3 linked regions of the Caenorhabditis elegans genome follow. The protein of the gene in region 3 purifies or fractionates together with the protein of the main gene of each other region. This does not show direct contact. Each region holds a gene or a part of one and is shown on either strand. Other genes may lie near its edges.

What was found.
Region 1: the proteins of far-2 (region 3) and rps-12 fractionate together in Caenorhabditis elegans (co-fractionation; one large-scale study listed by BioGRID). This does not show direct contact.
Region 2: the proteins of far-2 (region 3) and mup-2 fractionate together in Caenorhabditis elegans (co-fractionation; one large-scale study listed by BioGRID). This does not show direct contact.

The regions. Positions count from the first base shown.
Region 1 is NC_003281.10:5,677,678-5,680,829, reverse strand, and holds rps-12 (Small ribosomal subunit protein eS12), read right to left. Parts: upstream 1,533-3,152; 5' UTR 1,501-1,532; coding exon 1,484-1,500; intron 1,453-1,483; exon of another isoform or gene 1,321-1,452; intron 1,255-1,320; coding exon 1,117-1,254; intron 1,086-1,116; exon of another isoform or gene 955-1,085; intron 950-954; coding exon 682-949; 3' UTR 643-681; downstream 1-642. Other genes in the region: pst-2 (Adenosine 3'-phospho 5'-phosphosulfate transporter 2), read right to left, coding at 48-120, 226-332; ska-3 (Spindle and Kinetochore-Associated protein homolog), read left to right, coding at 1,842-1,955, 2,005-2,185, 2,229-2,516, 2,563-2,768; F54E7.9 (N-terminal methionine N(alpha)-acetyltransferase NatE), read left to right, coding at 2,942-3,152. UniProt on the Caenorhabditis elegans protein: Part of the small subunit (SSU) processome, first precursor of the small eukaryotic ribosomal subunit.
Region 2 is NC_003284.9:6,408,539-6,412,294, forward strand, and holds the start of mup-2 (Troponin T), read right to left. Parts: upstream 1,690-3,756; 5' UTR 1,671-1,689; coding exon 1,648-1,670; intron 1,596-1,647; coding exon 1,527-1,595; intron 1,476-1,526; coding exon 1,364-1,475; intron 1,298-1,363; coding exon 920-1,297; intron 869-919; coding exon 662-868; intron 590-661; coding exon 161-589; 3' UTR 1-160. UniProt on the Caenorhabditis elegans protein: Troponin T is the tropomyosin-binding subunit of troponin, the thin filament regulatory complex which confers calcium-sensitivity to muscle actomyosin ATPase activity.
Region 3 is NC_003281.10:9,079,977-9,083,133, reverse strand, and holds far-2 (Fatty-acid and retinol-binding protein 2), read right to left. Parts: upstream 1,307-3,157; 5' UTR 1,305-1,306; coding exon 797-1,304; intron 725-796; coding exon 684-724; 3' UTR 623-683; downstream 1-622. Other genes in the region: far-1 (Fatty-acid and retinol-binding protein 1), read left to right, coding at 1,957-2,172, 2,226-2,431, 2,480-2,565, 2,621-2,661. UniProt on the Caenorhabditis elegans protein: Probably binds lipids.

The sequences.
Region 1 (3,152 bases), 3.4 Mb from region 3:
TATTTTTTTTCTTCCAAACATTTTTTTATGTAAACTTCTAATCTCACCTGCATATACCCGTATCCTATGTACAAAATAAATATTGCTAAAGAAAGAAGAACAAATTGAAGCCATTTTGGTCTGAAAATCATGAATTCACAAATTAAATCGGCTCGAGATTTCATAATGTATTCTCGATTTTATCGCTTTTGAAATTCCGCTTTAAAATTGAAAATTAAAACTCACTTTCTGGCAATATTAAACCCTAACAGATGAATTGGTTCTACATCCTCTTTGACATGACGTGGCAGCATATGAACACTACAATCAGAATGTATTTGAGCTGCAGTCATTTGAAAGAGTGGGTGGAAAGTGCGCAAATAAAGGGAAATTGAGATCTAAATCAGATAGGCATTTGTTCAGATTGTCCATTGGGGAAAGCCTGAACCGCGACTACGTTCACGGCTTTTGAAAAGGGGGTATCGATCTTTTTGCGCGTTGGCAATAGTTTCTGCGCTACGTCTCTCTATGCATACGTTATTCATACCGAAATAAAAATTCACCGGCGTGATATATTGCAGAACCTTTCCTATACTTTCTGCTCCCGAAAATATTATCCCAACAACTTGTGAATGTGTACCATTTTGTAATTAAAGACGAACAAATAGGGAACAATAACAATTTATTGGAACAACGAACAGATTAGTTCTTGGAGGCAAAGTAGTCGGTGAGGATGGCACGTCCTTGCTCCTCATTTCCCCAGTTGGTGACAACGGCGGATGAGCATCCAACGACCTTGCGGGCCTTTCCTTCCTTATCGTACTTGCAGAGTCCGCAGTACTCTCCGATGATCTTCTTATCGGCGACCTTAATGAGTGGAATCTGGTGCTCGGCGCAGAGGGTCTCGACAAGCTTGACGTATTGTGGCTCGTCGCAGTTCTCGGCGAGGACACAGAAGTGAGCCTCACGCCTGAAAATTGTTTGTAAAATCTTTGGAACACATACAGCATGATACCAGTACACGTGTGGCAGAGTAACAACTTATCTACCAGCTTATTGGGGTCACATCGATTCTAGAACCGGCGACGTTGAAAAATAAGTGGAACTAAAATACAAACTAAAATATCAATTACTTACTTGTCAAGAGCCTTGCAGGTCTCGTGGAGTCCCTTGGCGAGTCCATCAGCGTGGTGGGCAGCGCGAAGAACAGCTCTCAAAGCTCCTTCCTTGTCCATTGGTCCCTGGGCGACGGCGGCTGGGGCCACTTGAACATCTCTAAAATTATCCAATATTTTAATAGCCTTCATAAAAACTTAATTTTGCTTTTAAGACAAGGAATCTAATTGTTCGAACAACTTTGGAACCGATACAGCTTCAAGGCCAGTACCCGTGTGGCAGTAGAACGGTTTTTATTGCACACTACGATAGGAAAACTATGACTTCAAAATCTTCCGATATAATTGGTAGGTGCAAGATTTTTCAGAAAAAAACAAAAATAACCTACCCTCCTGCGTCAGACATTGTTGTTTGCAGCAAGAGTCCTTGATGCTTACCTGAAAATTAGAAATTTCGACTCGTTAATATTGTTTTCACAAAATATATTTCAAGATTTGAGAAAAAGAAAAAAAGAAAAGAAAAAATTGGGAAAATCAACGGAAAAGAGGGAAGCATGAAATGTTTCTGTATCACTCCGCAGCATGTCTTTGAGTCGCGGCACAGTGAAATGTGCTATAGAGCGCGCTTGCCATTTGTCGATTTACGGAGACTTGCACGCGGGAAGCTTTGAATTTCAACAGTTTTCTGTATTTTCTCAGTCTTCATCAAACATTCATTAGCATTTTTCAGGCAAATAAAGGAGTCAAATGGCTAACGAAACGCTGGAACATGTTCTTATTTACTTTTTGGAGAAGCTAAAAGACGTTCGATGCAACCAATCTCCAGAATTACTTCAAAAGCTGACACTCTCACAGTACAAGGCAAGTTGTCGAGCTTTCAGTCCATTTAAATTATTTACATGAATTTCAGACTCTTGCACAATTGGATGTGGACATGCGAATGAGACTGACGCAGGAAATGGAGAGCTATGTGGCGGATCATGTAGAAATTATGAAACTCGAGCTGCAATTGAAGAACAAGAAATGTGCGCTCGCTGGAAAACTGAAACAGTTGGGGACAACGTTTGATAAAGCTATTGTGGAGACTAAAGGTGAGTTGCAATAATTTTTTCACGAAAAAATAGAAAAATTCAGAACGAAACGAGCATTTGCGGATTGGCAGCATTGATTTTCTGAATCCCGTGGTTGAGAAAGTGGAAAAAATAGTTTTTGCAAAGCCAGAAATGCCACAAATATCAGTCGAACAAGGATCAGTTCTCGGTGAATCTGCGAGACGTCAACCGGAGCTTGTCTCTGTAATGGCTTCCATAATGAAACCACCAACATTTTCATCATTGGTGATGACAGGAAGGACTGAAAAGAAAGAAAATATTCCGGAGACCAAAAGCTACAGTCTTGATGATTCTTTGATAAACGGACATGGTAAATTGAATTAGTTTGTCTTTGCAATAAAAACATGCCATTTCAGACATATCAATGGTGAATACATCCAACGAACGACGAAAACTGGCTTTTGATGAGTTGGACGATGAAGAACTGCAAACTCCAGCAAGAAAACCACAAAGAACTCCATCCAGAGCTCCAGAACGGAATCCTCTTGATCTATTTTCCCTACAAGCACCGCCCGTCTTCACATCTTCAGTTGGTCGAGCATTCAATCAGACAAGGGATTGATTTTCTGAATTTTTGATACTAAATATTATTTTATTTATCTGTACAAATGTGGATATGAATACAATTTTCTGAAAATGAAATCAAATGAATTTGAAAATCCAACCAGTTTTCAACTGTGAATATTTTTAGAATTTTCGCATGTTCTAGTCAACGTTTTAGACAAAGTTTCAGCAATGGAAGAAGAGGAATGTTTATCACATTCATCACCATCAACCGATAATTCTCTTGAACTTCGACTGCAACGAGTGACTGCGGAAAACATAAAAACAGTTCGAATCCTCGTTTCAAGCATATTTCCGGTGTCGTACAGCGACAAATTTTATCAAGAATGTATGAATAACGAATTAACAGGAGTTGTAATACGAAACGGCGAGGCAATCGCCA
Region 2 (3,756 bases), on a different chromosome or scaffold from region 3:
ACTTGAAGAATTGGAGAATTGGTTAATAAATTGGAAACAAATGCAAAAAGTTTTGATTGGAATATTAGAAAATGGATTTTTTTTGGTTGGGATTGGGTTTATTTTAATAAATTTGATAATCAAAAAATTGTGAAATGAAAAAAGGTAAAAAACAGGAAATTTATTCGACAACGACCTCTTCTCCAACATTTGGATCCTCGGTGACTTGTTGTGGCTCGAAGTCATCAGTTGGAACGAAGAGTGGGACTGGCTCGACTGGTGCTCTGGCTCCCTCAACCTTGACCTGCTCAACGTACTTTGGTGGCTCCAAGTTTTTGCGGATCTGCTCGAGTTCTTCGTTTTGCTTGCGTCCCCACTCTGCTGGTGGTCGTCCGGTTCCGCGGACGAGGGAAGCCTGCTTCTCCTCTTCTGGGTTCTCGAACAAGTACCGACGGTCTCCGTAAGATCTTCTGTCGGTTTGACGGTCGAACTTAGAAGCGGTGGTGATCTTTGGTGGATGGACAGAGGAAGCAGCCTCCTCTGGGTCAAGTCCCTTCTTGAGAGCCTTGTTACGGGCGGCTTGACGTTGACGCTCGTGTAACTCTTTCATCTGAAGTAATTGAAATTTGGTTGAATGTCACACACAATATCAAATAAGTCTCATTGAATAGTTTAAACTTACGTCATAGTCTTGACGTTCACGTCTCTTCTCCAAGTCGTACTTCTCAGCCTCGAGCTTGACGATACGAGCATGAAGGCCTCTGATTCTCTCCTTCAAATCGTTTGGAAGAAGTCCAGAGACGTCTTGTACACGGCAGACGGCGGCCAAGAAGTTTCTCTTGGCATCCTCCATCTGTTCCTTGCTCATGACATCCTTTCCTCCCTTAGCCTGAAAGTTTCTTAATTAGTATTCGATTTAAAAATGATACAATAAAAATACCTGAGCCAAGTTTCCGAATTGAGCAGCTTGGTCTCCCTTGGAGGCGACAGTGAAGTTGCGTCCAGCTCCGGCTTCAACTCTTCCGTTGAAAGCTCCAGCCATCATTTGTTGACGACGGACCTTCTCCTCGTTCTTGCGGATCTTCTCGGCATCAGCCTTAGCCTTGCGTTCGTCTTCTTCCTTGCGACGGCGCTCGTCATCTTGACGTCTACGTTCAGCGAACTGACGCTCGTCCTCTTCACGCTCAGCTCGGCGCTTCTCTTGCTTCTCCTTGAGTTCACGAAGCTCTTGTTCGATTTGCTCCTTCTCAAGAACACGGCGCTGCTCGTAATCGAGAAGTTTAGCGGCTTCCTCTTCCTCGTGACGCTTCTTGGCGGCCTAGATATGAATTTGGTTAACAATTTTATGAATGAAACGGAAGGTCTCCCAAGAAGTTATACTCACCAACATGGCAATCTCAGCCTCAGTCATCTCCGCTGGTGGCTTCTCCTCTTGGACTGGAGCACGACGCTCCTTGACCTCTGGTGGAGCGACTACTTCCTCGGTGGTCTCCTCTCTACAATTTCAGTGTTATACAAAAAATCACGAATTCAAAGCTTAAACTTACGGCTCTTCAGCCTCAGCTGGGGCCTCTTCGGTCTCCTCGACCTCCTCCTCCTCGACCTCCTCATCAGAGCTAAAAAATTAAAAATTAGAATGTCTAGAAAAATGATAGGTATATAACTTACTATACCTCCTCCTCGTCGGACATGATTAGTTAGGTTTAGGTTCTGTAATTATATGAAAGTTAAATTCTCAAAATTCAAAATCTCAAAACATATTGATAAGAAGTGATGACACAGAAGAAGAAGGAAATTTGAGTATGTGCCGGTGGGATGTTGAAATCGACAATGAAGAGATATGAAAGTGCTTGCTCCGGGAGGCCGTCGTTGGCAGATAAGTGGGAGGGGCTGGCGGGAGCGGGAGCTCTCAGGGAAAAGAAAAGTATAACATACGGACACAATCTGTGCTGTAAACCTTACACCTACGCAGAGTGAGCAGCCGTGCCCTCCTCGTGTGGCTCTCGTCTTTCTCTCTGCCTGGGGCTTCCCGCGGGCAGTCTGCGTTTCCTCAGAATACGCAGACTTCTGTGATGTGCTATCGTAGAAATAGGGCATCATGTTTCGATCCGAAGGCTCAATATATTTTTGAATCACCAACATTGATTCGAGAAACGGGTTTCTCTGCTTCTCTCTCGATCACCAAGATGTGCACTTCACTATCTCTTCCTCCTACGCTGACACAGACAAGGGACCAACAAGAGACAGATGATGATGAAGAGTTTGGACAAGTTGAAAAAAACAACATAGTTTATACTGGTCAATTGATAAAAATTTCTAACAAGTAGTTAATATGTTTTAGAAATTACTGTGATTTTCCTATTATTCTTGTATCTTCCACTGCACACTAATTCTAATTGGTCAGCTTTAAAATAATAAAAACGCGTTAAATATTTATGTGGTTCAAAAAGTTTTGTTAAAATTTAGGTAAAATACGGTAAACTTATTTTATAATTACGAATTTTCAATGAATCATCACTTTTATTTAAATATTTTAACGCGCAAATGAAAACGTAGTGCTCTTTAAAATTGATCCATTTAAAGTAAACAAATCATTTTAATATTTCTACAAATATTAAATTTCAAAATTCAATGTTTAGAAATCAATGATATTTGTGTAATAGTTTCCAATTTACCGAGGCACCTTGCCAATCGGCTATCATCTTTTTCCAACAAGCTCGTTTCCACCAAAAATCCACTCACAGTGGCCCCTGCAATAAGACAAGCGGGGCGAGCATACGAATAATATTTGGGTGGCACAATTGTAAAAACGCAAAACAATAATACAAATATTCTTTCTTTTCATTTGAATGCAGCTGATGATCTTCGAGACGTTTTCATTCAAATTCTTGTAAGCCAGTGTCAATTGGCCGTCTGGTTCAGTTGCGGGGATCCAATTAAGGGAATTTGAAAAATTGATTCTAAATAATAAATAAAACATTAATTTCAAAGAACATAATAATAAACAAGGCAAAAAAATTACGAAAAGTGTGTTCAATGTGGTGACAACAGTCCACACTAATTAAATTATTGCAAAAAAATAGTGTTATTCTAAGAAATACGAACATCTTTGTGAAATACAAAATAAATGTAGTAATTAATCATCAATTTCAAAACTTTAGTCTAATTAATTTGATATTAACATATGAGATCAAAGATATAGATTACATTTTCGAAAATGTCAAAAAATTACCCTTATTCAGAAAATGTATGTTTTTGACACCTTGTATTTTTCTTGTATTTTATAACATATTTTTTGAAACATTGTATTTTTGGTTTCTAACTAGCAAATTAGTCTATGGTGGAGTAGGGGCAGTGGGGTAATTTTTCTGAACTACCACTCTTATAGTACCAAAACTATCAAATATCATAGTAAAAAGTTTCAAAAACTCTTTGCACATATTCAAAAAATTGACACACAAAAAGTGAAAATTACTAAGTTTTTATCACTTTTTGAGAAAAAATAGCACAGTCGCATGTTCGAGCGAATAAAATGTTTGAATATTATTATTTAAAACATAGGTAGACCATGAAATTTGAAACAATTTTTATTTGGCCATTTTGGCACTATAGATTTTTATCAATTTTCCACAATCGCGCTATTCTACGCTTAATGCCACCGAAAACTTTTAGAATTATTTGTAATTCTGTAGTTAAAAATCTAAGTTTCACTCTGTGAAAATCATTTTGAACTATTTTTTAAGATATTAGATCTATTGATTAGCAATTTTTTAGATT
Region 3 (3,157 bases):
TTAACATTTTCTATCAAAAATGTTGAAGAATCGAATTCGAGGAGCATAAAGAATGAAAATCTGTTTTTTTTAATTGAAAATACCATGAAATTCAGTTAATTACAGAAAGCTCCAAAAATGATTGGAAAAAATTAAGCCGCCAGATGTCAAATGCTTTAACTTTTTTCAAAGAAGAGTTGATAACAAATTGTCAATAACAAAAACAAAGAAAACGTTATGACCTATATTTTGTATGTAGAAATTTTTTTTGCAAAACCTATTAGTTTTTGACTTATTCTCTTTTGGAAATTTTGAAAAATTATCAAGTTTTCCTACCTGCGCTTTTCAAACTTCAAAAAACTATGCAACTTGTCCTTCCAGTTTCTGAATTACGTTGTTGGCAAATAAGCTACCGTAACCCTGCACTTTGTACCCAATTCTTTCAACTGCTCAATGGACCTCGGAACCATATTGTTTACAATCACAACAACCACAACAAAACCCATAAACTTTGTGAAGACAACTCGAAAGTTTCGAAAATGTGCTTTACGTGAAGCCGACATGTGGTAGCCATTTGGGATTCATTTCACCGACCAAACTTCAATTCTTTCCATCTTTTCTAGAGAACAATCAATCGTTATTTGAATTAAAATACTTTATTTTGGGGGAAAATAATTGGAAAACCATATCATAATTATTACTTCTTAGTTGACGTATTGTCCGACGATGGCTTGAATCTTTTCGTCTGAAAATAATAAAATTATTGTTTGAATTAAACAATTTGAATGCTCAAAAATCTCAGAATTTTAAAACTCACTTTGGAAGAATCCAGTGAGGATTGGGAACTCAGCGGTGATGGTAGCCTTGGCGTCATCAGAAAGAGCCTTGTATTCAGCGATGTATCCCTTGGCGAGTTCCTTAAGAGAATCAAGAGTTGGCTTATCTCCGGCGAGGTATTGTTGGTGGAGTTCACGTCCCTTGGCGATGATCTTCTTGACAAGAGCCTGAGCGGTGGCATCGAGTTTCTCGAATTTAGCGGTGAGGAGAGCCTCGAGCTTTCCAGCCTTCTCGTAAAGGGATGGAGACTTTTCCTTGAGAGCAGCCTTGAATTCTTCCTCGGTCTTGTATTCCTTGTGGTTTTGGGCGAGTTCCTTAAGAGCAGCCTTCTCCTCAGCGGTGATGGCCTTGAGGTGCTCGGCAACTTCAGCTGGGATGAGTCCCTTGTACTCGGCTGGGATGTCGTCGAAGTTCTGTGGAACCTCTGGGATTGGGGCAGAGAAGACAGCCACGGAGGCAAGGGCTACGACGAGGAAGGCGCGGATCATTACTGCAATATTTTAAATTAGGGGTGGGAAATTTTAAGGTGAAATAGAAATAGAAGGTGATATCAAAGTTAAAGAACCAGTAAACTAGAAAAAAGAAACCATTTAGCAAAGTTTCGAAGTAGAAGATGAAGCTTTGAGCTGCTTCTGCTGTGCCGATTCTGCTCCGCCAGCCGATCTTTTATACGACCTTGGATGATGTATGTTTGAACCTCGTTTCATCAACGAAATAGTGCGTTGAACCATGAGAGTTCCGATGAAATATCACGTTCCCTTCGAGACGCAGACCTCATTTTTCCCTTATTTCTATTATAAAAAACCACTTTTAGTGTAATGAAGTTTAGGAAAAAATGTTTCTTTTTTCTATTTCTATTTCGATTCCCTTTGCTGCTGCTGATTCTTCGCAACTGCTCTATCTCACTGACTCCGCCCATTTGAATTGCTCATTTTCTGAGTCTCTCAAAGGACTACACTCTCGCTAGTTGATTGTAATTCTTCTGGGGTCACCATGTGGTCCGCCTCTTTTTGTTCGACTTTAAAAGATGCTCAGAACAATGGAAATCAACACTTCAGTCTCATTTCGCTTTCTTCTTCTTCTTATTCTTCTTCTTCTTCGTCACATCCCCGATTCTCATAATCTTTCAAATTTTCAGTAATGATCCGTGCCACTATCATCCTCGCCGCTGTCGCTGCCCTCGCCTTCTCTGCTCCAGTCCCGGAGGTCCCAGAGAACTATGACGATATCCCAGCTGAATACAAGTCCCTTATCCCAGCCGAGGTCTCCGAGCATCTTAAGTCCATCACCCCAGAAGAGAAGGCTATTCTTAAGGAGGTCGCCAAGGGATACAAGGACTTCAAGAGCGAGGATGATGTGAGTCTGAAAATTGAAAACTCTAGACCAATAATCAAAATATTAAATTGCAGTTCTTGAACGCCCTCAAGGAAAAGTCTCCAACTCTCCACGAGAAGGCCTCCAAGCTCCACCAAATCGTCAAGGACAAGGTCAACGCTCTCAATGATGAGGCTAAGGCTTTCGTCAAGAAGGCTATCGCTGAAGGACGTAAGATCCACGCTCAATACTTGGCCGGAGAGAAGCCATCCCTCGACACCCTCAAGACCACCGCCAAGACGTAAGTTTCGAGAAAATTACAAATTTCTCTGTCAGGATAACATTTCAGCCACATCGAAGCCTACAAGGGACTTTCCCAAGATGCCAAGGACTCCATCGCCAAGGAATTCCCAATCCTCACCGGATTCTTCAAGAGTGAGTTTAATAAACTTCTAATAATTTTCAATTTAATAATTATATTAATTTTCAGACGAGAAGGTTCAAGCCATGGTCGGACAATACCTCAACTAAATTTCCATTTCGCATTTTCTTTTTGTTTTTAATGTAATAAGCTTAATGGTTGGTTATTGGTTTTCTATAAACTTTGAATCGCAATAAAAACTTGATGCTTTCTGTAATGACTCATTAAATCAGTAGCAGTTGGTATCTCAAACAAATGATGCCCTCACAACAGTAGCATTCGGGCCTCTAAGATAAATTACTTTTAGTGAAAGAACTGATCGGAGACAATTGGAAAGATTTAACGGAGAAAAAAGTCTGCAAAGTCGATGCTTGAGACTTGTCAATTGGCCATTTAAAAAACTTGCACAGAAGTTGCTAGAGATTGGAATTTAAAAAAAACCTAAAAATCAAAGTCCCATCTTATTGCAAGCCTGTCAAAACTTATATTGTTTCAAGTACTCAAAATCAAATAGCATCCTTTCAATTAAGAAACATAACCATATTGATTTTAGGTACTTGGGATCAAATAGCGTTATTTCAGGTTCTAAACAGAGGAATTCACTGT